4 linked regions of the Schizosaccharomyces pombe genome follow. The protein of the gene in region 2 interacts with the protein of the main gene of each other region in a pairwise test. Each region holds a gene or a part of one and is shown on either strand. Other genes may lie near its edges.

Region 1 (6,485 bases), on a different chromosome or scaffold from region 2:
TAGTATTGTTAGTCTGGCGATTGGTTACAGGACTAGAACGATGACTTGCGCCAGTACCAGCGCCAGTACCAGTCCCATTTGAAGTTGCAGCAGAAGTGCCATTCCGAGTCGAATTCGAAGTGGACTGATTCGAGGTATTAGTTGTGGCAGTCGGACGGGGAGTAGTACGAGTAGTACGTGCAGTTGTGGTTGTAGGTGTACTAGTAGTGCGATTGGCTGTAGTAGATGAGTGATTTCCGGCGGGAGCCCTAATTTTAGACGGGGCCACCTTCAATACGAGATTTCCCAAAACGGAAAGATTAGTGGTGGAAGATTTTTTCAATGGTCGAGTAAGCGACACTTCGCGATTTGATCGAAAACTACCAACTTCACGCATACGAAAGGATACTAAGCCAAGGAAGCCTTGATCTTTCTTTTTGAACTTTTTCTGATCAAAAAGGCGTATGGATATAACGCTAGATGGCTTAACAGTTCTAGAATTTAGTTAGTATAACGGAACAAAGAAAAGGGCAAAATCAACATATTGAAAAAAAAAAAAGAAAAAGATGCAGTAGTAATAAAAGATTTGCAAAAAGGATAGGATATGATAATATACAAATGATGTTGTTATTAGAAAATTGTTAAAAAAATTTCGTTATGGAGCCACAAAAACTATCCGACCATCAAAGAAATGCTTAGACTCCGAACTAACGTGAATACTAAGAGTATAAACATATCTATCCAAATCTAAGAACATCCAAGGTCCAATCTCTACCATCTCTTTTTTTTTTATTTTCAATTGATCATGTTATCCGCCGCATTTGTCATGTGCTTACACTTCAAATCCTTCATTCCAATAAGGGTTCACCGATTTTTTAATAACTTTCGTTGTATGAGTTTGCTCGCCATCTACCGTTAAAATAGCAAAGGGATCGGGCTGTCGAAAAAGATCCCGTTTACTTAATCCATCAGCAGCTACTATGTAGAACCGGACTCTTTTCGCTCCTTGTTCCATGTTCTTAACATATAATTACTTGGATTCCTCTAAGCGGAGAGGTGAAAGTCGCGAAACTTCACGAAACCTTCAATATGTAAGCGATTGTGGTAAATGGTAAAAGCGGATACGTATACCACAAAAGGTTTCAATATTGAAGCGGGGGTTCCGAGCCAGTAGGAAGGTGGGGGAGTTTGGTGGTAGTATGAAGAACGCTGTAGTTCACTACGCAACGATATTCTTGTTTTGCTAGGGAAATGCGTTTAAAGATACTAAGCGTTCGCTGGCTAAACAGCAACTTTATATGTAATTTAAAAAGGCAAAGAGAGTGTTGAGGAAATCGACCAATTTATCTTTTTCGTTGTAGAAGTAGTAAACCGATATACGATCTAAATTGGCTCTTTTTATAAATCGACAGACGAATGCTCGAATGCTCGAATGCTCTCTGGAATATCCTAGTGTAAATACCTGTTGGTTGGCTAAATAGTGGATCAATAGGTGTAACTCGCAAGTTCAGCGAATATCCGCTCAGCTAATATTTGGCAAATCGAAAGAGTAAACAAAGGTCATCGAATCTGAGTGGCACAGCGTAGAAACGACTGACTTGATTATCCTTGTTACTTTTATTTATCGCTTCCCTATACGAGTTGGGTAAAAGGCAGGAAGGAAATTATTTGTACTGGAATCCGGAATATGCCGCAGGTAGCTAAAAGAAATTGACTCGACATGTACAATATATGAACATAAAAATCGACTATGTAAAAACTACTTAATTAGATATACACCAAGCTTTTTTTGTTAAATGTCATTTTACATCATGATGACTAAAAATTAATTTCCTCACAATTATTACATATAAAAATGAACTTGTAGACTTAGAAAAGAAAGTCATACATTTTCTATATAAAATCATTAAACAGAATCAAGAAATTTATTAGAAATATAAGAAGATCCTCAGCATTAAACTCTCCAAAGGAGAAGAGAAGAACGTTAATGTGTTTCACTATATTAAACACAAAATGTAATGGTGAACACAGAGAAGTATCTCCTCATTACAAAAATATATATATAATGAAATTATACATTGGTAGGTGTTTAGTTTTATTAATCAAGAAAGGAAGGAGATGACTGTAATATGTGATACGGTGTATAGAGTAGCTTCCTTTTCTGACCCCTTTTCTAATCAAGCGGATCAAGATTATGACGAGAAATTAAGCTGAGCAAATAAATTTTCAAAAACAAAAAAAAGAAAATTTTGAAGATTATGAACGTGCATCAGAAGCATAAAAACGACAATATACAACAAAATTTTATGAAGCTGGCATTGTAAACACAAAAATGCAATCAACTAGTCCATACCCAAGAGGAATTGAAGGGTCGGTGAATTACATTATGTCAGCATATATGTTTTAATATAGTGAATGGGATCATGACTTTAAAGGAAACCCGTGTAATCCAACACAAAAGAATAAACAAGGAATATAAACATTTAACGAATGAGTTGAAAGAAATACTAGTTAATTTCCAACATACTGTTAAATGTCATTTCTAATCTTTTCCCACCTAACTGTTATTGGTGACGATTTGAATGCTCATAATTCATTTTTCACTTTTTCAAGTCATCAAAGCGATTACCTAATACGGAGCGAAACCACGGGCTCTTCCACGATATCCTCCTCTGCCACGACCCCGTCCACGTCCACGTCCGCGACCACGACCACGGCTCATACCAGGAACGTTTGTCCGCTTGGGTGTAACCTACATTTCAAGTTAGAATGCATGTTGCTGGTAGTTACTGTGATTGTTTTACATACCTTTAAAGGTCGTTCATGCAACATCGATCCATTTAATAAAAGAGCATTAGGCACTAAGCTTGGTTCACTGAACTCGATGTATGCAAATCTACGAAACTAGGTTAGCTGTACATTCCAACGTCATCCACAAGTTCGATTCATACCCTTTTGGATGTCCCGTAAACTTGTCACACAAAATGGTAACGCGATTAACAGATCCACAACTAGCAAAATGACTTTGCAACTCCTCTGGAGTAACACTGTAATCAACATTTCCAACATAGACACTTTGAGCATCAATGGATTCCTTATCGTTTCTCAAAGCTTCCGTTTCATTATCTAGTTGTTCTTGCATGGCACGAAGCTTTGCAGCCTCTGCTTCCATTTCAGCAACTCGCTCTTTCATTTCCAATAGTTCCTAATCATGTAAGCAAATAATTCCACCATACTACACAGTCTGAATTCCTACCTTTTCTTGGGTATCTAAGGCATCTTGATCACTCATTTTTTCAAATTTTCTGCTACACGCGTGTGGTTGGAAGTAAACTGTTCAACCAGTATTCTTTAGCATGTTGAGGGTGACAAAAGTTTCCCTCTATGCTCTCAGAGTAGCGACGCTTTGTTTCGCGCAAATTTACAATAGCGTATGGCACGATTAGAGACGGAAAAACCGATTTCTGAATGAAACAGCACAATATGGTGTAATATTTTCGTATTCGTTAATACGTACAATATGTGTTTAACGAGGATTTGGACTGCCTGCTTATAGTTCGGATGCTTGGTTAAGATGAGAGTGCTCACAAGTAAGTAAGGTGAGGTTTGTGGACATTTTTGTATGGCGTGTTTGGTTTTATTGTATTGCTAAAATCACAATTCATAAGAAAGCGATCTTTAAAAAACAATTAAGGAGATTGACGGGATATGCCGTTAAATGTTTAGTTTTTGGACGTAACGAATACCTAAGTTGCTTGAAGAGCTCTCCCACTTGAAGTGAAATAAGTGGAATCCTAAAGAAATACGATAAGACGTGATAAAGTATGGCATAATGTAGTTCTTTCATGGAACTTCGAACTCAATTATTACACACTCTTCACCATTGATATACGTATCCAGGGTTGGTATTATCTTCATTAGCTCGATAGCCAAGGGTGATGAATTACAAAAATATAGAAAAGGGATATTTTTGAATGGAAGTCTATTTAAAATAACTTCCTGTTTTTTAATTGATTTCTTTAATAATATTCCGTATTTTTATATAAATTAATTTATTTTTTCTGATTTTTACCATTATTTCTTTTTTTACTTTATTTTGTAGTTTTTTGTGTTTTTTTTTTTTTGTTCAGCAACCCATCTAACGTAATGCTATCGTTTATATTAATTGTTTTTTTCTTCTTCTTTTGTTTCTACGCTTTAAATGTAAAAAGAGTCCAAGTCTAAATAAACCAATTTTTTTTTTTTTTTGCCTGGGGATACTAATAATTTAATAAAATGGAAATTTCCCAACAATGTTTATCTATCAACCACAGCAAGCCGTTCCCAGCTTAACTAATACTAGAATAAAACAAATAATAATAAAGCATCAAGTAACGGTATATTTCGTTTCATATGCGAATTGTAGAACCAATACTACAGATACTTCACTATTTATTTATCCGGTAGCAGTCTACCATTGATTACCTTCTAGACACCGTTGACGATTCACATACCGAAGCGGAGAAAATTAATAAATCAGAGTTTTAACTCAAAGGAAGCTTCTATGATCCCTTCCAATCTCGTACTTCTATTCAAGGGCCTATATATCTCTTGATATTTAATTGCTATGGCAGCTTCCTTAAACCAAGCAACATAATGATCAAACAAAAAGCAAATTGTTAGGCAATTTTAAGATCATTTCATTAAAATGTACGAAATAATTAGTTCATATTCGAGGCTTATATCTTTCTCATTATCGAACATTTTCCATCGTTCATCTATCTACTTTGCTATTCTAGTTAACAGTGGTTACTTGTGCATCTAAAACGATCGGTGAAACGAAGATAGAAACGAGAAAAGAATTCAATAAGATGAGAAAAAATAATTAAAACAATTAGTAAAAATGAAAATAGATTGTAGACGATAGCATATGTGTCTATAAATTAGTATATACGACTTGTTCTATTTTATATTTATTTATTTATCACGCACAAGTTTAAGGAGAAATAATGCACTACACAGTCACGTTATCATAGAATAAGGAAGAAGAAGTCAGAACGGGATAAATTGATCACGAATCTTCCTTACCAACTCATCTACTATCTCGACATAATTGTGCTATATTCCACTAAATTTCGTTAAATTCTCTATCGCAATCAAAGGAACATCAGCACTAAAAAGAACTCCTCAGGGGGGGCGGATAACTTTACCCTCTACCAACAACAACCAACCAAGGTTCTGTTTTCTGCTACATTTCTGGGTTCAACATGAGAAAATTTGCTTAACAAAATATTAATACACACACGATCTAAGTGAATTGCTACGAAATTCTAATTCTCCCAAAGTATTCAACGCGAAACCACTGTTTTCATACCCGCCATCCTCTTCGAACAGCCAGGCCGACTTTTCTTCCCTCTACTAGGTTATTTCGTTGCCGAAGTATTCCGCCAATCTCTTTTTGAAACCTGTTTCTTGTACAGGTGTTGGCTTTCTAGAGATTGAGTGTTTACTGGAATTTGTTTTTGTTTTCTTACTATCTTTCCTCTTCTTCCCCAGGTGTGTACTGTGAAGAACAAATAGAGTATATATATATTTCTGTATTTATATTCATATCTATATTATTTGTTCAACTTTCAAAGAACGACCTGTTTGAGTCTATTAAAGGAGAATTTAAGAAAACTGTGAATTTTAGGTATCATTCGACCGACATTAAGTTATCATCTGCTCGACCTCTCAAACTTTGATTAAAGAAGAAAAGTTCGGAATCGAAAGTGTGTGTGATTATGAAGCTGCTTCAAAAGAAAGGTTATAAAGTTGAGCGCCCTCTGAATAAGGGATCGTATGGCACTGTAGTATTAGCCCATCGTCTTTTTCGGACTCCCCGTTGCAAGGATTTGAAGTATGCCATTAAGTGCATCAAAAAACCTGCTTATACCTTTTTGCAAGAAGTCAATATCTTGCGCCAGCTATCGCGGTCTCGACACCGCAACATCATTCATTTCGTTGAATCTTTTGAAGACAATGTATACTATTATGTCGTGCTCGAATATTGCCCTCTTGGTGATTTATACGAGTGCATCTTGAATAATGATTTTCCAAATGCAAAGAACCAACCTGAAATGATTAAGAATATTTTTCTTCAAATCATTGATGGTGTTGCACATTTGCATTCTCATGGTATCTACCATCGTGACTTAAAGCCAGAAAACTTTCTTCTTTCTCTTTCAGAAGATGGATCTGAGCTTGTGGTCAAGATCAGTGATTTTGGACTTGCTTGCAGGGACAAAATATCTTATGACTTTGGAACTGGCAGTGACCGTTACATGGCTCCTGAACAGTTTGAGGAAGTTGATGGTGCTGGTTACAGCCCTCGTGCAGCGGATATATGGGCTCTTGGTATTTGCCTTTTAAACTTAATTTTTGCACGTAATCCTTTTACCTATCCACACGAAAAGGATCCTATATTTGCTGATTACATGTTGGACGCAATGACCTTATTTGACGTTTTCCCTACGTTGAGTCAAGAT
Region 2 (7,974 bases):
ACGCTCGTTTCTTCATTAAGAACAAATCCGACGGAGATAGAAATGGAAATCCCCTCCCTGGTACAATTATTGAAAAGCATGTTACTCACCCCTATCAGTACGATTTTTACCTTATATCCCACCCATCTCTGCAAGGCGTTTCGGTCCCAGTTCACTACACGGTTTTGCACGACGAAATTCAGATGCCACCGGACCAATTCCAAACACTGTGTTATAATCTTTGTTATGTTTATGCAAGAGCAACAAGTGCTGTTTCCTTGGTTCCACCTGTTTATTATGCGCATTTGGTTAGTAACTTAGCCCGTTATCAAGACGTGACAGCCGATGATACTTTTGTTGAGACATCAGAAGCATCAATGGATCAAGAAGTAAAGCCGCTTTTAGCTCTATCAAGTAAATTGAAAACAAAGATGTGGTATATGTAATGTTTGATGGATTGCATGCAATAAGTAATGAAATAGATATACGATTGACTACTGGATTGCCCACAACTTTTACTTCCTTATTAAATCTGCTTCTGTTTTTATTTTGCTTTATATTATTGTAATTTTCTTTAATCATTTAATGTTAGTTTTTTTATGCTCTATCCACTGTTGATAGCTTGACCATGTTCCAACGATCAACAAATGTTGATAACGATAATACTAATGACATTCACTTAACCCAAAGCCCGAACTTTATGTAAGTGTCACGCCAATATAGAAATACAGATAAACTAAATGATACTTAAGGATCTCAGAAGAAGTGATTAAAATCGATAAATTCCATGCACAATGGTTGAACAACCAATTTACCTATTTGTCTAATTCAGATTCATCTAGCTTTTTTATTAAGAAAAAACATCATTCAAAGCAAAATCATTCAAATTTGAAAACAGCCTGTTTGAAGAGAATCAGAATTTCTAATTTTTTAGAGTATTTGGGTTAAGTTCAAGAACCAAACATTGCATACTGTGTTAAGATTTCGTTTAGAGGAGCAAAAACAAGTCAATAATGATAATTTTACTTAACTGATTTGCTCCAAGATTGAAAATTAACACCATTATAGTGTGCATTTTTTTTATTGTTCAGAAAAACTTTTTAATAATGTTAAATCTTTAATGTTGATGAGCGACCTATACGGAATGCTTTATTAAGCAAATCCACTGCATTTAACATCAATCCGCTCCAATAGTATATAGTTTCATGAATTTTGTTAAAGGAAGCATCCAACATTCTTGAAAATCCAGCAAAAGGGAGATATCAACGGTCTCTTCCAATTCGCTTCATTATAGCATAGTTAATCAACGTACAAAGTCTGCTGCCTTCATCATACATCATTTCCATGCCATCTCTAGCTTCAGACCCATGATCCATGTGGCTAACAATTTCAGAAATTTCAGCAGAAAACAGATTGCAACTAGTTAGGTAAGCAGAAGAAATCTTCAAAAGTACAACACTTACGTTTTAATCCACTTGATGCGAACACCTCCAGCATGCGAGCTATCTGACCAAAAGGGCAGTTCGGTGCTATTTAGGTCGCTGACTACCTGAGCATATCCTAAAGCATTGTACGTTTGCTGAGCCACAAAAATAAAATAAACACTGGCTTTCTGTTAAAGTGTTAGTATAAAACTATATCGTTTAAGGGAAATAAAAGACAAACCTTATATGCATCAGAAATTCTTTTGGAAGAATCTTTCTTGACTGCCCAAATAGAAGTTTTTTTAGCATGAGCAATGGCAGTCTCGTTGTCACATAGCATAATAAAATAACGGGAGCCTAAGTTGTTAGAATTATTTGTTTTGGTTTAATGGGCTAAGCCTTACGGTGTGAAATTCCATTTTCGTCAAGAACAACTCGGGGATTAATCATCGAAATGCGTTCCCCCTTCTCATTTCTATGTTCGCTTGCTCTGGAAAAATTTAATGGAGGAGGCGTAGATGCACGAGCTTTGGGTTTTTCTTTTCTTGAGGCACTATCATTGCTGGAATTAGAAAGCAGGTAAGAAGATTTCTCAGGATAAGCTCCAACTGGCGCGACCGAAGAGGGAAGGGAGTGAGCATAAGGTTCAAGCAAACTAGGGGAGTGAGATGCACGAGTATTAGCAGGTACAAAAGGATACCTTGTTGAACCACTGCTTGCAATACCATGACGAGTGTCTTCATGAGAAAGTTGGGGGGAAGATCGAACAGGATAGGAAGAGTAACCAGCTTGGTATGCTGAAGCGGATGAAGGAACTTCAGAAGCTAAAGTGTAAGGAGGCCTTCTGTATACTTCTTCTTCAACATAACGAGAACTTCCAACAACCACTGGGTCCGCAAGCCGTCTAGGGGGAGGACTAAGTGTGCGTCGCTTGGGAGGAGGTTGTATGCCATGCAAACGAGAACGGCTATCATAGTAAGCAGAGGATTCCGAACCTGCATGATAATAATGTGGAGCATCAGTTGAATAAGAAGAGTAAGGAGGCTGACTTTCTGGATAAGATCCCGAAGTGTGATAAAGCATAGACTCACGACGAAGGGATCGAAAATAAGGCCATTCGTAGGAGTGACCATAGTCAGTGCAATGCCTGCTAAAATCATATTTACCATGTTTAATTAAGCGGGGATCATCTACCATCAATCTTCTACCGATAGGAGCGTCATGTGACTCTGGTGCAGGTCTTTTCAGAGGTGAAGAAAAGTTGTTTGAACCTGAAGTAGATAGAACACTTGACGCAACAGGCTCTCCGGTATGAGTAGTCCATACGCTTCTAGTATCGCCCGATTCGTTCAATGACGGTGGAGCTATATAAGGTGGTTAGTAAAATTCTCGACAAAATTAAACAGTAGGAGGTTTTAGGCGAAAAGTCAGTCAATTTTCAATGACACTATTTTACATTCCTCTCTGATATTTTAAACAATAATCTACTTACGCCACAGGCTTCGCAGAGCTTCCAAATTTGGAAGTTCCGGAATGGACTTTGATGACCTAGAAGTAGAGAAGTTTGTGTTTGACATTCAAATTTCTTTTATGTGTGATAAAAAGTATAATCTTTTTTTTTTGAAATCCTCTTTAAAATGCTAAAAATTTGTAAATTGAGTAACGGAAAATGAGTTGAAGCCAGAAGATTGTGATAAATATTAAATTAAGTTAATAAATATTCACCAAAATCCCTTGCTTTATATTTTTTTTACAAAAAAAAATAAAGAGAGAACCAAAAAAACCCCCCAAAAAACAAAATTGCTGGTCAATACACTAACTGAATTTATATCAACCACTATCGTTTACTTTAAAAGTCTTGCCGAGTAGAGAAATAAAAAAGCAAGAACTAGCAAGATAGATATACTCTTGAAAGAATAGCGGTAAGTCAAGTGAAGACCAAGCCCCAAAAAAAAGAAAAAAAAATATGTTTAGCCCAAAAATCACCAATTATAGCTTTTCACTTTCTTCAAAAGTTAGCTATTTCCCGTCAACTTTCAAAATAATGTTTGAATGTTTAATAAAACACTTTATTATAGGGTTTACTAGTAGCCTCCTTAGTGTTGGATTTCTGGAAGAAGGCAAGGTGCAGATAATCGTGAGAGAGTAATTTGATTACGGGTAATAACGAATACGAAGTACTTTGATAAAACAAATGAATATGAAAACCATCAATTACTGAGTAAATAAAAAAATTTCTATTTTAAAAGAGTTTTACTTTTTAATAAGTATTCCTTGTAAATTCACATTTCTTACAAATTTGTTCGGCAGATTCAAAAAATGCCCCGTGGCACAGAGAGATACTCAAAAGAAAGATTCTTTTTTAAGATTAAAAAAACAAAAAATTGCTCTGAGTGTAAATAGTGAATGGTCAAATGTCGACTAGTCGTTTCCATATTTACCATCAACATTATAAAGTAAATATTTGATTTGTAAATTAAAATACAGTCGACTAAAGTGTGGATAAAATGGCTAATACACAATACCAATGCTTTGACAGACAGAAAAGTAAGAGATCAAACCTACTGTTACCAGGGAAGAAGCGATGTAGCGACAAAGTCGAAATGCTGTTTGTGGTTCTTAAGCAATACGAAATTGTATAATATTATTACTAATATAAAGTAATCATAAAGGGATTCCAACATAAGACAACTAAAAATATATGAGGAGGTAGAAACACTTTACTAGTTTAAGTGGTTCAAGAAGCGTTCATCATTGTTCAGATTACGAGCAAAAGAATTATGGAGAAGGAGCTAAATACTTGAGATCTTCAAATATCTTATGAGTATAGCGATAAAGCTCCTCAACAAAGGCATCATCATGAGCGCGATGAAGAATACCACGCTGAGCAATTGCAGTGAAGTAAGCGCCGTTCAAGTGCTCTTTGGAAATCTCGGGACTGGTTGCAGCATATAAGGAAGTCATGGCGCCTCTGATTGGATCCAAAAGTAAATACTGGAAGACTGATTTCTCTAACAATTTGAGAGCAAAGGTAGGTGAGTAACGAGTCAGCTCGGTACGGATAACACCTGGGTGTAGACTAACGGAATATATTCCATATTTTTCTAAACGTTTGGCTAAAGCAATGGAATAAAGGATCTGGGCATACTTAGATTGTCCATAACGAGCAAAAGTACCCAAAAGTACATGCGGGAGATTTAGGTCAGGGAAGTAGATACCAGAATAAGGGGCCTGCAAATATGCAATGCTTGCGACGTGAACTATTCTAACATCGCCAGGTCGACATTCTTCTGCAGTACGACGGAGTGTGGGGAGCAAGAGCTCAGTGAACAAGTAATGTGAAAGGTAGTTGGTTTGAATCTGAAGTTCATAACCATCTTTAGTCAATTCAAAGGGAGGGTTCATGATACCAGCATTATTGACCAATATGTGTAATTTCTCTTCTTTGGCAATGAAAGACTCAGCTGCTTGGTACACGCTTTCGAAGTCTAACAAATCCAAACGAAGAAAACGGATCTTGGAATGTCTAACTTCATCGTGGATCTGTTTCATAACTTTTTGATACTTTTCCTCGTTCCTACCAGCCAGATAGACCTTTGCGCCTTTTCTAGCCAACTCGAGGGCAGTTACATAACCAATGCCACCTGAAGATCCTGTGACAAGAGCGACTTTACCCGTAAGATCGGGAATATCGTTAAAGGTCCATTTGGGTGTATTGAGACCGGTGTACTCTTTGAGAGTATTTACAATTGCGCTCTCATTCACGCGGTTGAGCAATCCCTGAAAACTGTAGGACATCGTAAAGAAATTTTTGAAGCTAATATCAATTAAAAAAAAAGAACTTTATAAACAATGAGCGGGGAGGATTTTATTGCAAAGAAGTGGCCAGAGAACAAACTTATTACCAATGTCTTTAACTCGAAACTGTAGCGATTATGAAATCAATCGATCAAGTTTGGAACAGATTCAAGAATAAATCAACAATTTTCTTTTAATAAGCGTTCTTAAGTTCTAGAAAACACTTAAATATCGTTCTCGTCGAATATGTTGAATATGGGTAAGGGTGGCTGCAGATGATAAGTTGCAAAGAGTGACGATAGCGGAAGAGGAAGCAATTCGTAATTTATACAATGACCGCTGACAAATTTCTTCAAAATCCAAGAAACTCAAGGCGTAACACGGCTTCTTTGCGGACCGAAAATTTGATCAAGCATGGTATTACATCGACTAGCTACTTTTGACTACTTGGCTTACAAAACGAAATATGGATTGTTTAGAATTGAATGTATGAATTGGGTGCTCGACAGAATATTGGAATCCTTTTAAAAATGTATAACTTGAACTTATTGTAATTGAAGAACTCGAATTCAGATTGGGCAAATGAAAGATAAAATTAGACTTAGGTATGAATAGAAACGAAAACTTAAAAATCTGCAATCTATAGGATTCCCTTCTTTAAACGAGTTAAACGTCATGTTTTATTCAGTAAGAGTCTTAGAAATTCATTTTTTCACTTATACTAGATCACAAGCATCTTACAGAGCCACCCAATAGCACATTAATCGGTTTCAAAAAGCAACTTGCATAAGGCTTAATATATCGGTGAACATTCCATTTGGGTGCTCATCTTCTGTTAGCATCATTTTGGTACGGTTTAAGATAAAGTTATTTATTTAAAGAATTAAATTACTCTAAAAACTTAAAATTATTGATGGTTTCCTCTTTTTCTCTGCTTTATTTACATTTTGCTCTAATAGTGTAATCTTGCGCTCGTTCATATTCAACAATACGATGGTCTAACGAATTGTGCTAACTCTACGGTGCTGGCTGTGTGAGTGAAACATTGTCGTCCGTAAAGTTAGTCGTCTCTATTTACACATGTACAACTCCAATTTCAGAGCCATACTCATTACTGTTTAGAATCCCGTCCGTTTCATTCGTTTTCATTTTTCTATTTGTCTATAAAATTCATTCTTTTACATAACTATTCATGCTCTGCTGGTTGTAAACATACGAGTCGTTAATTTATATTTGTTTATGTAAATGGAGTTGGACGATTTTAATAGCCGCATTCTCAGTCAAATTTTTGATAAGGTAAGCTTTTTACAAATTAATGGAGATAGAAGCTTGCTGTCCAGAAAAATGTAACTGGAATGAAAAGCAAACAAATGGAAATATCGTTGCAACGGCATTAAGGGCACTGTTGATCAATTCCATTGTATTTTACGATTTCAATTAGTTTTACTCATTGCTTTGTGTTTCCGTCACTACTCTTTTCATACCTGTTCTCCCTAGTATTGATGGATCTCACTTCTGTAGTGGGTTATTTTAAGTTTTTAGGTTTCTAACTGATTTATTTAGTCTTGGAAAGTTCGATTTGAAGCATATGAGTCTTTGTTGCATGCATTGAACCGAGCATTGGATGATTCAGACGTTTGTTTCCAGCCTTGGATTCATGACCCAGCATTATGGAAACAAGGGCTGTGTGATAGTAACGTACCAACACAAGAGCATGCCGTAAAATCTCTGCGATGCTTTTTAGACAAGTCTAGGCAAAAAGGAGTTAATTCTGCCAAATCGTTCGTTGTTGCTCCTCTACTCGAAAAATGTTTACCATCTCCTAGACAATCTATCCGTGATGCTTCTCACCAGGCTTTACTCATTTTAGCTAAATCCGATGCGCTGGACTATGTATTAGAAGGGTTATTTTCGGCGGCTCGCGTTAAGCATCCCAAGCAGGCAGTTGCTTCTATAAAAGAATTAAATAGTTTATTGGAGAATTTTGGAATCCCTGCACTTTCTCCTATTCCATTCTATAAACTGATTCCTACTTTGTTCGCCCAATCAGATAAGAATATCAGGCAAGAAGCTTCGAATCTATCCATAACCTTGTACGCTTGGGTTGGTAATGCATTCAAGACTCATGTGTTTCCTCAACTAAAGCAAATACAGGTCTCCGATCTTGAGGCCTCTTTTCAAAATGTTACATCTCGCACGACCACGGGAGGACATATTTCAAATTCCCTCAACACCCAAGAGGTGGTTCTTCCTTCTTTTTCATCGAATGCCAAACCCAAACCACATTTGTCCTCAAAGTCATCTTCGCAGGGAAACACTCTGCAACGCTCTACTTCTAGTTTCAGTACTCCTAACCGAAAGGTCTCACAACCTTCTGATTTTTCAGCATCTCCTTCCCGTTCCATTGTATCTCCTGCCAAAAACATTGTCGGAAGTACGCCCGTTGATGTTCTTTCCAAACTAACCCCAGAATTCCATACCGCATTATCTTCTCCCAAGTGGAAAGATCGAAAGGAAGCGTTGGAAAGCATGGTACCGGTGTGTTCCAATCCTGTTTATCAAGAGGGTGACTATAGTGAGTTACTTCGAGTGATTGCAAAGTCTCTAAAAGATGCAAACGTGGTGGTAGTGGGTGTAGCGGCTTTATTATTGACGCATATTGCCAAGGCGCTAAGGAAGGGCTTTCTTCCGTATACTGGTATTGTATTGCCTTCTTTATTTGATAGGTTTAAAGAGAGAAAATCGAGTTTGGTGCACTCTTTGCTGGATGCGG
Region 3 (7,233 bases), on a different chromosome or scaffold from region 2:
TACAAGCTTTGGAATGACCTTCCTTCTTATGGAGAAGACGAAAATGTGCCTCAAAACATCCGCCGTTGTTACCAATTACTCGATATGACCTCGAGATCCTTTGCAGTCGTTATTAAAGAATTGCCAAATGGTATTAGAGAGGCTGTTATGATTTTTTATCTTGTCCTTCGTGGACTGGATACAGTAGAGGATGACATGACGTTGCCTTTGGATAAAAAGCTTCCAATCCTAAGAGATTTTTATAAAACAATTGAAGTCGAAGGGTGGACGTTTAATGAATCTGGTCCTAACGAAAAGGATCGTCAGCTTCTCGTAGAATTCGACGTGGTTATAAAAGAATATCTTAACCTGTCAGAGGGTTATCGTAATGTTATTTCGAACATTACTAAGGAAATGGGTGATGGTATGGCTTATTATGCCTCTCTTGCCGAAAAAAATGACGGATTCTCTGTAGAAACTATAGAAGACTTTAACAAATATTGTCATTATGTTGCCGGATTGGTGGGAATTGGACTATCTCGTTTGTTTGCTCAATCTAAGCTAGAAGATCCGGATTTAGCTCATAGTCAAGCTATTTCCAATTCTCTTGGACTCTTTTTACAAAAAGTTAACATCATTCGTGATTATCGTGAGGATTTTGATGATAATCGTCATTTCTGGCCTCGTGAAATTTGGTCCAAGTATACTTCCAGTTTCGGTGATCTCTGTCTTCCTGACAACTCTGAAAAAGCTCTTGAATGTTTATCTGATATGACTGCTAATGCTTTAACACATGCTACTGATGCTCTCGTTTATCTTTCTCAATTGAAGACTCAGGAAATATTTAATTTCTGTGCTATTCCACAAGTAATGGCAATTGCCACATTAGCTGCAGTTTTCAGAAACCCGGATGTTTTTCAAACTAATGTTAAGATAAGGAAGGGTCAGGCTGTCCAGATTATTCTACATTCTGTAAACTTGAAGAATGTTTGTGATTTATTCCTTCGTTACACCCGTGATATTCATTATAAGAACACTCCTAAAGATCCCAACTTTTTGAAGATTTCAATTGAATGTGGAAAGATTGAGCAAGTATCTGAAAGCTTATTTCCACGGCGCTTCCGTGAGATGTACGAAAAGGCCTATGTTAGTAAGTTGTCTGAACAAAAGAAGGGAAACGGAACTCAGAAGGCAATTTTAAATGACGAGCAAAAGGAATTGTATCGAAAGGATTTACAGAAACTAGGCATTAGCATTCTTTTTGTATTTTTTATAATCCTTGTATGCCTTGCTGTCATTTTCTATGTGTTCAATATTAGAATACATTGGTCAGACTTCAAAGAGCTTAATTTGTTTTAGTCCGTAAATTTAAAAAACTTAAATACTGGTTCAATATCGATAATATACAAGCAGTTTATTTCCTTAATTACTCTATGAAAATTGAAAGCTGTTTTGCTAAACAGAAGACAATTTAGAACTTGATTTTTGATCCTGTCTACAGATAGTGACTACAATTAATATAGGTTGTAAGATAAGACCACAATGAATGATGAGATATACTCGTGAGTGTTAAGCAAGCAACGGTTTGAGTCTTATGTGTGGGTATTTATGCCGTTGAAACTTTTTGTCGTTTTAATTGCTAAAGATCGTTAGAATGGATAGCTAAATCGGAATTCTTACCTCTGTACTATGTGCAGTGTCAGCAGTGGACCTCTTCTTAGTAGCTTTCGGCCGTTCTTCTCCAGGTTCGAAAACTTCATCAGGTAAAGCAGTACTAAAATGTGTGAGAGTGTATATATATAAAATGACTTACTTTTTAGTATTCTTAATGAAAACGTTCATTAAGGTGTCATCATATTTATCCCATTTTTTGCACAACTCGTAAAATTCTTGGGTAGGCCAAGAAATATCAAGTCTTTTAATTGGATGACCTAATAAAGTTAGCATAATTAATTTCAAAATGTAGTATCTTGCCTTTCTTCTTTTCAAGTTCAAGCCCTATATAACATGTTGTAGTGTAAACAGGAAAAATTTGTTTTTCACCATTTTCAGAACCATCAGCTTTACTCTCAGTATTGTCGGCTTTCTCTTCATTAACTGTATCGTTGGCTAATTTTTCATGATCCGTAGATTCATATGCGACTTCAAGAGTAACGCCGCTAGCTACTTGTTGAGCTTCTTCTTCACTGGAGCAATTATACACTTTATCAAATCCTTTATTGAAAGGATGTGCCAAAGCAATAGCATCAACAAGCTCCAGTCTAGTAACCAAATGACGAAGCTTAGATTCAACCAAACCTGCCCACTTCAATTGAGCTTCAGCTGTCTTAGCAGCTGCTGTGATCGTAAGATAATGCTTATAACGATGAAAAAAGTCGTGTTTTTGAAACAAAGCTGACCAGGGAAGAGCCTTGACCATTATTTGGTCAGCAATTTCTCCAGCCCGAACCATTTCGCGAAGGATAATTGTTTGGGTGGATAAAGTAATGTTATGAGTTGCACACATTGATGGATAAGCCGGGGTTATAATTGGCATACGGTGAGCTTTGTCGGATGGATAAAGTTTTGGATTCCAGATACGTACTTGTAAGGGGCCATCTTCAATGGGCTTTAACAATATTGGTTGAGGCCAATTCCATTGATGAAGAATACGAAAAAATTTAGCAACAATCACAGAAGATACTGCATTCGGATATAGTTGGCAAATTCGAGCTACCATCATGGCCCAGGCGACTCCTCCAGGAAATCCTACGACATTAGCGTATATTGCACGACGTTGAGCCCAAAACTTTATGGCTCTTAAAGCATGCTTAAAAACAGCACGATTAGGGACAAGCTGCAGAATCTGATCCGTAACACGTGTACCATTCAAACTTAGCACACATCTTTCTTCAACACCCTTTAATAAGTTATTATCAGACAATTCGAGGTCGCGGGGAACACGCGGAACTGAAAGACGAGCAAAAATTAAATCTATACTTATTCCCAAAAATTTAAACTTAATAATAGGAACATAGGCGTCAGGTACAGCAGCAAGGTCAGTTACCTCTTCTCTTTCTCGAAGCATAGGTTCCAAGTCCTGAAAGAAATTGTCGCGAGAAACATGCTTGGGTACAACGACTAGGGTATCTATGTCTGATCCAGGTCCATAAACGCCCAGTCTATAACTTCCGTACGTAAAAATTTTCCCCCCTGCCTCATTAGCCATCTTTTCGTTCATATGTTTGGCAAGTGATACTTTCTTTACAAATTCTGTCGTTATTTGTTGCAACTCATCAAGAACCTTTACTCTTTTTTCAGATTCGGCAGGAGATTCAAACAAGTTTTGGTTCTTCAACTCATTAATTAAAGCCGTATTCAAAGCATTTTCCTGTTCAGTAGCAGGTGCAGTACTAATTGGCGGTGTAATACCCCATTGCTTGGTAGTCATGCTTTGAAAACAAAAATTGGAGTCTTGAAAGGTAGCTGTTTTAAATTATCCTAACCTTTAAAAACAACTGGTTTAAAGCGTACTAATGCTAAATGTGTAGATCTGGTTAGCATTCGTTTAGGATTTAAGGCATAAATACGCAATTTCACAAAGTGCGTTATCTTATTATAATGTCAAAAAATTCATTTACAGTTGCACTGAGACATTTATTTCGATTAAATCAAATTTAATTTATCTGGTAAATTATACAATTGTTGCTGTTTATCATATATATCTTGACAGTGCACTATGTTCATTATCTGACAAACCGATTGCTCCTGGTTTTGTATTTAAAAGCTTACCCGTTAAATTCCATCCTTCAGATATGCATTTTTTTTGGTTGAATAAACTAGCGACTTGAAATGTAAAAATAATTTATGTTGCTGAGAAGTGTAAATGATTCAGAATCCACATCTATTTATTGGATTTACCGCAGTTGTAGGGAAACTGTCGAATTATTGATGACAAGTTCTCCAAAACTCTTTGCAAACAAGTTTCAATGTATGAAATTGATTCCAAACAGTAAAGAATTATTATGCTCATAAAGATTATCATAGCCATGTTTCGAGAGTTTAGATAAGCAGCCGAAATCTATGCAAACTGGCCTGCAAAAGACAACAAATCTTCGTCATTAAGATATTGGGCCATAATTTGAATTCCCATTGGAAGCCCATTGTTCAAAGTACCGAAAGGTATGCTAACGGATGGTATTCCAGCCATATTCGCTGGAACTAACATAGTATCTGAAAGATGACTATAAGAGGACGGGGTTTCAATGGGTTGACTGGAATTAAAAAAAGAAGGGGTAACTATGAAATCGATGTCACCCCTGGGATCATCGACAGAAAAGGAAGGTAGAAAAAAGTTTTTGTTGAATTCCAGCTGTATGGCTCGGCGAACGTATCGAGCCTTAGAAAACAAATCAGAGGAATTCCTATTTGTAAATATTAGTAACTACTTAGTAAATCAGTTATATCATACATTCTTGCTAGTGAATAAGCGCCTAGCAGTAGCCTCTTTTTCACTTCGTCTCCTAAAAAAAAAGAGCGTGCAGTAGATGAAATTATTTCCTCTTCGAACTTTTCATCTAAACAATTGCCAAATGCGATAGTATTATATTTAGCCAAATTTGAAGTCGCTTCTGCATAAGCCATTGTGGAATATACACTGTTAGCGTATAATGAAATTGGAAGCTGTATTTCTTGGACAAGATAACCATTTGATTTCAGAAGAGATATGAATTCATTCCACTTATCTAAAACGTTTGGATGAGTCTCAGAAACATTCCAGTCAATTGGAATTCCTATTTTAATTGGCTTCCGCGATAATTTTTTGTGCTGCTCTTTAACAAAATAACGAGCTTCTTTAGTTAAACAGGTTGAGTCATTTATGTCGGGATGGTCTAAAACATTAAATACTTTGGTAACGCCCTTAACATTATTTGCAGCGATACCCACTGTGTCAAAACTATTGGCAAAGGCAAGCATTCCATATCTCGAAATCCTGCCGAAAGATGGTTTAAAACCTACACAACCTACGTAAGCAGCAGGTAGACGGATTGATCCTCCTGTGTCTGAACCAACTGATGCATAACATATATCCGCCGCGATTGCAGCAGCAGCTCCTCCCGAGCTGCCCCCAACATCGTAATTACTATCCTTAACAACAGGATTAACAGTGCGACCAAAAAGATTGTTTTCGCTCTTGACTCCCATTGCAAACTCATCCATATTTGTTTTACCAAGAATAATACCGCCGGCTTTCTTCAAGCTTTCGACAATTGACGCATCAAACGGAGAATTGTAGTCTAGTTAAACCGCAATTAGTAACTGAAATATATTCTTATTGTCTACCCTTCAACATATTAGAGGCTGCCGTGGTTAAATTTGTCTTCGTGCAAATATTTTCCTTTACTGTAATCAGTTTCCATTTTAACGGAAGCTTCTTTTCCAGTGGTAATTTACTAATTTCAACAAATGAATCATATAGATATTCGGCACTATTTATTGAAGTTAAAGACTTAATTTTCGCATCATTTAGAATGATACTAGCATATTTAGCTGCAACTTCTTTTAATAAATTGTTATATTTATTACTCATTCGACCAATCAATCATTGGACGTTAACTTCGTGCAAATAATGTATTACCCAACTTGTTGTATAGTTGAATAAAGTAGTGAGCTATTATCGGTATGACACCTAAGACTTTTTCTGAGGGGATCAACTTTTTATTGTTTGTAAAGCTCACTATTTAGTTTTTTAAATAAGTTAATTATGCAAAAAAGCAATGAAATAAAATGACTTTAATCTTACAAATAATCATTAATTCAATACAACAAGCAAATAGTCTATATGAAGTAGGTTTTTATTTTAATTCGTATTTAACCTTTTTTTAGTCATTTCAACAACATAGTTTGAGAGATGAAGTAAATTTTCAATTTCAAATGTTTCAACGGAAGATCCGATTTTGTGAGAACTTGGATATATTTCTCCCGTGGTTAAAAGCAGCTTGTCAGGAGTCTTTTCAATTTCATTCCACAGTTTTTCAAGACCACGTGTAGAGCGAAAAAGGTCACGGTTGCACAATACGTACAGACCATATGAGCATGCTGAAAAGGCTTTATAAAATGTTTTTGGATTCCAATGATCAGAGGCCTCTTTAGATTCAACTGTCGTAAATATAACAAAGTTTACCCGTTTATCGCTTGGTAATTTTTCCACGGTACCTACAAAAGCAGGCTGACCAAAAAACGAGTTATGAGAACAGCGTACCGATATAATTTCATTTAAAAGGCTGACTTGACTCTCATAAAGCGTACAGATTACAATTTCGTTGGTGGGATAACCTAACATTCGCATGTACTGGAATAAGGCAACTGCGTACTCGGCTTCTCCAAGATTTTGCTTATAACCGCTAACGGGTTCTGTTTCTTGAGAACCTTTAAAAGCTCCCACATTAATAAATTGGACCTCATGTGCAAACCCCGAATTACCATAATCAAGTCTTTTATTGGGACTAGAATCCACAGTTTTGATGTCCAAAGGATAAATTGATGAACATAGAGAACTGATAGATTCTCTAACATTGTATTGCGTATTAAGGTCAATAATTCTGGATTTCAAATACCGCAAACGTTTGAAAAGTGAACCATTTGACGTATTATTTATATCCTGATTCCCAGAGGTAAGATATTGATTACCCAGAAGAACAAGGCGATCAAAACCAGTTGGTTCACAGTTTGAAAGTAGTATGCTAGTGATAGAGCTTTCACTTATATTTTGTGAGTTCATAACAATTAAATTGTTAAAGCAAAATCCCTTTTCTTTCAAAGTCCCTAAGCGTGTACTTAAGCTCGTCCAAGTGCATCCGATAATCCTAGATTGTTGGCATAATGCATACAATTCTTGATCTTCATAATATCTCAGTAATCCAAAAGGCCGGATCTCTTCCAGCTGTTGGAACATATATTCTAACTCCCCGTATAACTTTGTCGCATAATCGAAAAAATTATCTTTATTATACGTTTCTATCGGACGCTTAGATTTGTCACCGAAATACGAATGGAAAGGGAACCTGTTATAGGCATCCACAGAATCCTTATCATCTACCGTGTTCAAGTACTTTTCCCAAAGTCGCTTAATATAAGCATCCCTAAAATACAAAGCCGTATCTGGGCTGGCGTCATGAGAACCTGGAGCCTGGATTGAAGCAGCTAGGCGACCGATTTCTCGTAGAAGACCAGGAAGCTTAGATATCCAAGACGATAAAGTACCATAACGTTCCA
Region 4 (8,039 bases), on a different chromosome or scaffold from region 2:
TAGCTTGATGACCTTGATTGTTTATTTTTTGATGCTCCGATACGAATGATCAATTAACCAAGTTGTTGAATATCTACTGTCATCAGACGAACAAGCTCAGAGTAATGACATTTGTTATGTTTAGCAATGAAATCATTTAAAACGATACCAATTTGTTCTTTTAGGACTGATTTTTTTTTGTAATGTCAGGTATAGTAGAATTTTATTTCATTTTCTTATCTACTACTTTTTGCACTATTGTTATCGTTCATTCGTACTAGTAGTAAATATGTAGTTTGACAAGTATGGTATATCACTTGGTAAAAAAAAATGCCTTCTGGATTCACCGTTATAATTTTGTCTTATACCGCTTATTAAAATTGATTCCCTTACCACCAACAATTCGTTTTACAGTTCAATTTGTATTGTTCCCCTATCCTCTCAGCTTGATGATTACAAATATTTGCTCAAAGTGGATGCTTTAATTTAAATTTTCATGGTAGTTCCTACTCCATTTTACGTTTTACGTGGTCATTCTAGCAGTGTCACTAGTGTACTTTTTGACGCTAATGAATACTTATATTCTGGTGATGAGGCAGGTTTTGTAATTTGTTGGTGTCTTACTAGTATGCGACCAAAATGCGCCTGGAGAGCTCATACAAAAACCATATTGGGCATGCAAATAGTCAAGGGAGGAGCCTTATGCACTCACGGTAGAGACTGTCGTCTCGTCACTTGGAAAATCGATTTTAATTGCATGACCGACAATTTTATGTCATTATCAAAACTAGCTGAACTTCAAAATTACGGTCCTGAAGCCTCTTCTGAAACTGAGAAGAGCAGCGCATTTATATCTATTCATTCCAATATCGTTGTTAATTCCCTAACCTTTTGCCCCTTCTCTTACTCTCCTCAATCTAAAATAGTAGTTTTATGCAATACATTGAACTTTGAAGAGCTTGATGTATATGATGATGAATCATTGTATCATCCTCAAACACACAAAGAGGATTGCGGAAAAAGACTACAGACGAGAATTCAGCCAGAAGAGTCTGTTGGTAAAACAGGATCAGTAATGTCAACCTCAGTAACCGTTACTGACGAGAAGTATGTACTATTAGCTGCCGGTTACGAAAGCGGTCATGTGGTTCAGTACATATGTTCATTAGAAAATGTAAAGACTGTTACCCTCGATTTTAAAGCTGTTTGGAAGATGGTTTACGCCTACAAAAGTCATTCTCAACCAGTTTTATCGGTAGAGTACGCTGGTTCCAAATTATTTTCAACGGGTGCTGATGACTGTATATGTCTGCATCCTACTCCTTCATCTATAGCTGATGATCTTGGTAGTCTGCCTCATCCTATATTTAGAAAGACAAAGCATTGTGGACAACAAAATATTCGTATACGAAGTGATAACAAGATATTAGCAACTGCAGGATGGGATGGTCGAGGTCGTGTTTACAGCTGCCAGACATTAGCTCCTTTAGCGGTTTTGAAATATCACTCCGATGGTATTAATAGTTTGGCCTTTCATCCAGGCAGCAACGTGATTGCGTTAGCTAGTAAAGACACCAGAATATCTCTCTGGAAGTTGTATTAGGGCAAAAGTTTAGGACATTACAGTTACGTTTAATCCATCATCATTTTCAAGAAATCATTTACTTTTGGTTTGCAGGATTCAATTCATTCTTATTACAATACGCGCATTTTTATCAATAACCATTGAAATGATTTTAAACGTATTACATATATTAAATATATTAAATATCAGACTAGTAAATGCTTAATCTTCCAGTATTTTGATATCGCCTCAAATAAGATGAGCGATTCATATGCAAGCATAGAAAGTACGAAAGACATAATTCTAACCTGAGCTATATTAAGTAGTGACATTAGTTTTATAACGGCAAAGAGCCATTGTTTATGTATAGTGATGTTTATAGTACAAGGACGTAATTTTGACGGTCAAAATTTTTACAGTTAGTTTGATGTTGCTTGGCAGTTTCAATCTAAATGGAAACCTTTGCAACAGGAATTGTCATTCTCTCCGACTTCCAAAGATTATGATATTCGACGATTCGAGTAGCAACATCGACGAAATCGGTGTTCTCATCGGTATTTTTCATGACTATATCTAAACCGGATTTATAAGACTCTTTCTCAATTTCATCATTTCCTTCGATGTACCTTGATAAATCTTGTATAATTTCATCATCTGTATAAAGGTTAGTCAAAAATCAACAGCACAAATACCATAACCCGTCATTTTAATGTCGCGAAAATGCGACGCCTCGCAATGGTCATCATTACAAACACCACCAGTGGTTTCGTATTTACAGAAAACTTTCATCGGCTCTATCTTATTGCTGTAGGTAAGCGACCGATATTTCAACGGTACTCGCTCAACAAATTGTTGATTAAATCGATAAGATTTAAAGCGGTAAAATGGAGAGATATAATCGACAAGCGGTACCTTATCCTCAAAATCTGTTTCCGTCGTCCCATTTGGCGCGTTTGACGTTTTGGAAGACAAAATCTGTGATGAGTTCTCATCTGCTTGGGCGGAAACCTCGGTTATTGAGTCCATACTTAAATCAGATTCTTTAGGTAAACATGCAACATTTCCTTTCCCTTGTTGTTCGAGTAACTGTTTTTTCCTAGTGTACAATTGTGTTAGAATCTCAGTTTTTGATTTCACCAAAGTTTGATATTTTGTTAGTTCTCCTTCCTCTTTTTCTATTAAGTTATTTAAAATGTCAATCTCGGATTTTTTAATCTGTGCGGGATGCTCTTCATGTACCACAGCAATTTGTTCCGTCTTTCTGAGCCAAGGTGCCTCTAATATCTGCTCAGTTGTATCAGAATTCGTAGTTGCAGCACTAGACGAGGCTCCTGACGAGCTAATAGAAGGTCCAGCCTCCACAAAATCGGCTTTGGAACTAAGATCAACGACTTTTTCAAAGGTATCCAAGTGTGTTTTAGATTTGTTGTCAACCGCAGCTACAGGGACAGATGGAAGTTTCATATCGGCGGCAGAAGTTGGCGATCTATACGGTTTTTTATTAGACTCAAGCCGTAAGATCAACTTTGTCATTCGCCGTATTTCCTCTTCTTTATTGCGAAGAAGCGCCAAGTAATCTGAACGAGACATAGTAAGACCATTTTCACTATTTGAGGGGGGCTTTTCTAAATTAGATTGTTCTATCTTCGAATTCGAAAAGTCATCTCCATCATCATCGGAATCAAATTCAATAACTACATTTGGAGTCGAGGAGCCAAAAGGCTTCGAAGAAGATAGCCAATCGTCCTGCTTCAAAAGTGGTAAAGATATAAGATTTTTTCTTTCAGGAAGGACGGTAGGTGTACCATTATCGCCAGGTAATATATGTGTGTCACTAAGATTACTGTCAATCTTACGAAGTTTAGCAGACCTAGCAGCTTTGTCTGCAGATAGTGTCAGACTTCCTTGGGAGCTAGCAGAAGAGGAATCCAGTCCGAGCTTTAAAAATAAAGTATGAACAACCGAAGGCTCGATGCCCTCAGCAATAAAATCGTTAAAGCGCACTCCTACTTCAAACAACTGACTCACAGCTTTCTCTGCTTCCTTTTGATTAGTAGTCTTGGAATAATTTGCATCAGAATTTTTAGATGTTGAAAGAAAAGGTGATTTTTCTGATTTTGCCTTTTCACTCTTTTGATAAGAAGTGTCGGATGATAAAGCCAATGGTCGGCTAGTAGCGGTATCTTTAAGAGCCCGGTTTTCTTTAAATGACTGGGAAGTATTAGAAGAATCCGATGTTTCAGAAGACTTCGCCTTATTTCGGTTGTTGAATGAATTCTCAGATGACCGTTTGCGCTTCGAAAAGGTTTTGTTTGAGGAGGCGGTTTGAGGAAAGAAAGGAACTGTATTTGGTCCAAACATCAAAGCTGGAGGAAGCATAAAAGGTGCGCCAAATGGAAAAAAATTCGCGTTAGTTCCAGGAAATCTAGTGTGTTAGTTAGATAAGACACCTGATGGGTTGAATGTATTCAAGTTCGAAAAAAAAAAAGGAAATTTTACAAATTGTCATTCTCGTAATCCCAAAGTTGGAGTTAAACCGTACAGAACAGCATAACTAGCGGAGAATAGCTCCGTAGAAAAGATAAATAAGCTGCACTGACAGGTTTAATCAAATGCCATGCTTACCTATCAAAAGGAGGCAACTGAGGAATTTGCTCAGGAAAGGTTGGTACTTTCATTGGCGGAACTAAACTGTTAAAAAAACGAATTCATTTAAACGGTGAGAAAATTGAAAAGATGGATATCAAAACATAATTTCCAAATACATATAAAAGGCTTCTGCCAGCTTTATTTTTCTCTCTTTAAAAAAAAAAAAGCCACGCATATAAATAGAGATATGAAATGTTCTAAACGAATGCAAGCAATCGTCGAGGAAAACTCAATAAAATGCGAACAAGCCTATAAAAACAAAAAGTCTCGTTTCACAATATATTTGTGTAAATTTCCATCTCTAATCTACCTTACCTGAATTTGATTGATCTATAACAGGATCGTCTTCGCTAATTTCGCCATCTTCTTTGTCAGAGTCATTACTCTCATCTTCTTCATTCTTCTTTTTTGATTCTAAAGCCTTTTTTCGCAACTCATCGAGATTTATTGACCGGGACATTTATTTACAGCTAAAACTGGGTTAGTAGTGCCAAATTTCAACAGCAGATGTTTTGTTTGTAGTACCAGTTAAGACAGTGAAACGCGAAAAACATTAAATATTATTGCACATAAAGTTTTTTCACCTCAGAGCATGTTATTCCCTAATAAAGATATTGATGGTTGAATACTTTCTTATTTGTTCTAATGAACTGTCTGAAATATGCACTAAGACTCTTTATTTACAAAACATTCGGAATTAGTCTATTGAACAGGTATACTGAATGTAGCAAATATATTTTCAAACAATTTTAAAAAGTAACACAAGAACAGCTAATATGTTCAGCCTTATTGGCTTGCTCATACGAAAAGTGTAGCGGTGATTCAAAGCTTTCGCATCCAATTATCTTTTGCTAGTTTACAGCACAAATTTACGCGAAGGTGAAATAACATTTTTGAGTTATCAAATTATAGCGGGAAATCTGCTTTTAATGGACTAGTCAGTAATTTAGTAGCGGCCGCCTTGTCTCATAAATAGAAACATAGAACATCTGGAGAAGTTCAAGAAAAATAGCGAAAATGAGAAAACTGTGTTTTAAACCTTTGTCCAATAATGATAATGTTTTCTACTAGCATATCCTTCTATGAGCACATGAGAAAAAGAAATATTCTTTCGCTCAGTTCGGTTTTAACGTTGGAACAGTCTTTGGCCTTTATTAAAAACTTGAAGTTCATAAACTAAAAACAACAAAAACATTGTGCTTTATGCAAATTTCGTGTGCAATAAAAGTTCGGGTATCCGTTTATGATGTTTTAGCACGAAAGCCGACTATTGACAGTAACACTGGTAATAGCTCTTTTTACTAAAAACCCTCATCGAAAAGGTAGTTCCGTATCTGATTACAAGGCCGATCGTGCAAAAATACTAAAGACCGAGGAATATGTAATCGTGCAGTTTTATAACATACTCTTCCGTTGCTTAAGTTATTAATCTGAATTTAGTCTGTTTAATCCGTTACATGAAAAATTTAGCCTTTCAGGAGCTTGAAGAAATGATTTAAGATCAAAACGCTTTCATGTAATCACCTAACAAAAATGCTAGATTTTGTTATTATTTATTATTGAAATTCCCCCATAAACCTCGAAATTTTAAGACCGGTCAAGTTATCATTTGAGGCTAACAGGCGGCCTTCAAGCATTTAAAACGAAAGACCGTATTCATAGATTATTTATTGGTAATCTCAATGAGGCTAGTACCTTTGATCTGTTACTACTTGCGAACATACTATTTGTCTCCAAATGTTTGCTGTAGTGTATGCTCGCGCTCCCTCAATCGTTCAGAAAGTTCAAAGCAATGCAATTTCAATTCAGAGTTTACTTTTTCCAATTTTCGAACTCGCTTTGTTTCTCTCATCAACTGCTCTTGAAAAACTGACCGCAGTGACTTTTCGGATTTTGCGTTCTTACCTGGCATAAACTCCTCACAAGGAATTTGTTTTTCTTCTAAGAAGATTTCCTTGTAAGCTTCAAGTTCTAAAATAACTTTTTCAAGATCTTCTTGCTTCATCTGAAGTTCATTTGCTAACATGCGTTTGGATTCGGCCAAATAAGTATACGCATTTTCCAATGAATCGTATACCATCCCCTCCTTGAAGTGCAGTTCAGGTACTACAGCATTATTCTGTAAGTCAATGTTCAATGACTCATCCTTTTGGACAACAATATTTCTCACGTCAACATTTTCTCCCAATAATTTTCTGTTTTTATCCATATCGCGCAGAGCTATGTCTGACATCTCTTTAAATACGGAAACTTTCTCACCAGATGGGGACTTAGTGATTGAGATTTTTGTGTTGTTGGAAATAGAAGATGAATCATTAAAGCTTTTGACTAATTTACTAACCCTTCCTGAGATAGAAGTATTATTTTCGCTTTCTTGCCCTAGTTGCTCAAAGTCTGAACAAGAAGGTGATCTGCAATCAGTATTTACACCGATAAGCTTATCTTCAAGTAACGACTGAAGAGTAATTTTATAATTCCTTAACTCGATTTCCTTCGTTTGGTATTCTTGATCCTTTTGTACAAACTTTTTTGTTATATAAGTCAGCTCATCAGAAAGTGTATGTTCATCAAGATCTTCAAGCTTTGTAGATGGATTAATTCCAGCTTGAGAGCATACGTTTTTGTAAACAATGAACAAAAGATTAAATATTGAAATTCCTTTTCGTACACTTTCGGAAATTTGGGATTCGGTAGCATTAGATGAATCACTTTTAGCGAACGATGGCTCGACAAGCTGTAAAAAAGAATAGAGGTGCTCTTTTTTATTAATAAATGATTGATAAGAGTTTAACAAACTGGCTAATTTGGATTCACTTAACTCCAATTGCTGCTTCAATATCTCATTCTCCTTATTCGCGGTTTCCAGGTGTGCTCTACCTTCAGAAAGTTTGGAGTTTACTGAATTTAACTCTGCATTCTTTTCAGAAATCTCACACTGTAAACTATTGTTAGTTTGACTTAAAGTCTCCAAACTGTCATGGAGCTTCTCAATAGTTAGCTCTTGATCCCTGATTTGGCTTTTTAAAAATGCAGAGCGCCCGATTTCATCGTCAAGATTTCCCTTAGTGTTTTTTAAATCCTTCTGTAATCCATCCCGTTCATCAGTCAAACTAAAGACCGTGTCAAATTGAGAGAGTTGCTCATCCTTTAGGCATTTCATTTCTTCATCAAGTCTCAAAACCTTACTTGATTCCACTTCAAGATTGTTCTTTAATTCATTAAGTTCTTCCATAAGATATTCATTTTTTCGAAATACATTCTCCATATCCTTTATTGACGACTGTATTTGTTCTTGATAAAGTAGATCCCTTTGTTCACTAACAGAAGACTGAAACTCCAATAAGCCTGCTTTTTCTCTAAGACTTTCGGAAAGTCTTGAAATTTTTAATTCTTTTGCTCGAAAATCATCATCATAATGACTAATTAATGCCTCCTTGTTGTTTAACTTTTGACGCGCTTCTTTCATCTCGGTTTCATAATTGGCGTTCATTTCTCTCAGATTTTTTTCATCATTTTTAACAGTTTCTAGAGCTTCTTGCAATGACTGATTTCTTTCTAGCAACGCTTTGATTTGATCCTGTAACTTCTCGGTTTCAAGTTTTAAATCCCTGTTTTGGGTTTGAATTTCATTAATAGAATTTTGAGCTATAGAAAGCTTTTCTTCATAACTGATAGTTTTATTTTCGGCTTGTTTCAAATTTGACGCTACTATACTTAGAGATTTCTGCAACAACTGACGCGCGGCTTCACTGTTAAACTTGTCTTCCAATGCGTTGTTATGCTTGGACACAAGGCACACATACTTGTCGTTCATAATAGAAGAATGAAGTTTGAGCTCCTCAACAAG

Evidence for each region.
Region 1: the proteins of mmi1 (region 2) and pab2 interact in binary tests that used the Schizosaccharomyces pombe proteins (3 or more experiments, as listed by UniProt).
Region 3: the proteins of mmi1 (region 2) and pla1 interact in binary tests that used the Schizosaccharomyces pombe proteins (3 or more experiments, as listed by UniProt).
Region 4: the proteins of mmi1 (region 2) and red1 interact in binary tests that used the Schizosaccharomyces pombe proteins (3 or more experiments, as listed by UniProt).

Annotation. Positions count from the first base shown.
Region 1 is NC_003423.3:1,937,486-1,943,970, forward strand, and holds pab2 (poly(A)-binding protein Pab2), read right to left. Parts: upstream 3,304-6,485; 5' UTR 3,272-3,303; coding exon 3,236-3,271; exon of another isoform or gene 3,185-3,235; coding exon 2,931-3,184; exon of another isoform or gene 2,876-2,930; coding exon 2,788-2,875; exon of another isoform or gene 2,732-2,787; coding exon 2,609-2,731; 3' UTR 1,886-2,608; downstream 1-1,885. Other genes in the region: HECT-type ubiquitin-protein ligase Pub3, read right to left, coding at 1-473, 816-994; serine/threonine protein kinase Ksp1, read left to right, coding at 5,742-6,485.
Region 2 is NC_003421.2:336,588-344,561, forward strand, and holds mmi1 (YTH family RNA-binding protein Mmi1), read right to left. Parts: upstream 3,526-7,974; 5' UTR 2,981-3,525; coding exon 2,896-2,980; exon of another isoform or gene 2,768-2,895; coding exon 1,808-2,767; exon of another isoform or gene 1,761-1,807; coding exon 1,645-1,760; intron 1,592-1,644; coding exon 1,443-1,591; exon of another isoform or gene 1,399-1,442; coding exon 1,242-1,398; 3' UTR 501-1,241; downstream 1-500. Other genes in the region: ago1 (argonaute), read left to right, coding at 1-425; SPOM_SPCC736.13 (dehydrogenase), read right to left, coding at 4,182-5,201; TOG/XMAP215 microtubule plus end tracking polymerase Dis1, read left to right, coding at 6,447-6,497, 6,765-7,974. UniProt on the Schizosaccharomyces pombe protein: RNA-binding protein that recognizes and binds N6-methyladenosine (m6A)-containing RNAs, a modification present at internal sites of mRNAs and some non-coding RNAs.
Region 3 is NC_003423.3:925,165-932,397, reverse strand, and holds pla1 (mRNA cleavage and polyadenylation specificity factor poly(A) polymerase Pla1), read right to left. Parts: upstream 3,514-7,233; 5' UTR 3,410-3,513; coding exon 1,954-3,409; intron 1,911-1,953; coding exon 1,793-1,910; intron 1,754-1,792; coding exon 1,660-1,753; intron 1,619-1,659; coding exon 1,586-1,618; 3' UTR 1,352-1,585; downstream 1-1,351. Other genes in the region: squalene synthase Erg9, read left to right, coding at 1-1,338; gta1 (glutamyl-tRNA amidotransferase alpha subunit), read right to left, coding at 4,040-4,382, 4,430-5,255, 5,302-5,548; protein Cwf11, read right to left, coding at 5,819-7,233. UniProt on the Schizosaccharomyces pombe protein: Polymerase that creates the 3'-poly(A) tail of mRNA's. May acquire specificity through interaction with a cleavage and polyadenylation factor (CF I).
Region 4 is NC_003424.3:5,069,221-5,077,259, forward strand, and holds red1 (protein Red1), read right to left. Parts: upstream 4,679-8,039; 5' UTR 4,653-4,678; coding exon 4,508-4,652; exon of another isoform or gene 4,230-4,507; coding exon 4,169-4,229; intron 3,969-4,168; coding exon 2,242-3,968; intron 2,198-2,241; coding exon 1,992-2,197; 3' UTR 1,711-1,991; downstream 1-1,710. Other genes in the region: ASTRA-associated protein 1 Asa1, read left to right, coding at 476-1,582; protein mcp3, read right to left, coding at 5,916-8,039. UniProt on the Schizosaccharomyces pombe protein: Promotes the exosome-mediated degradation of mRNAs containing a DSR (determinant of selective removal) signal sequence from mitotic cells.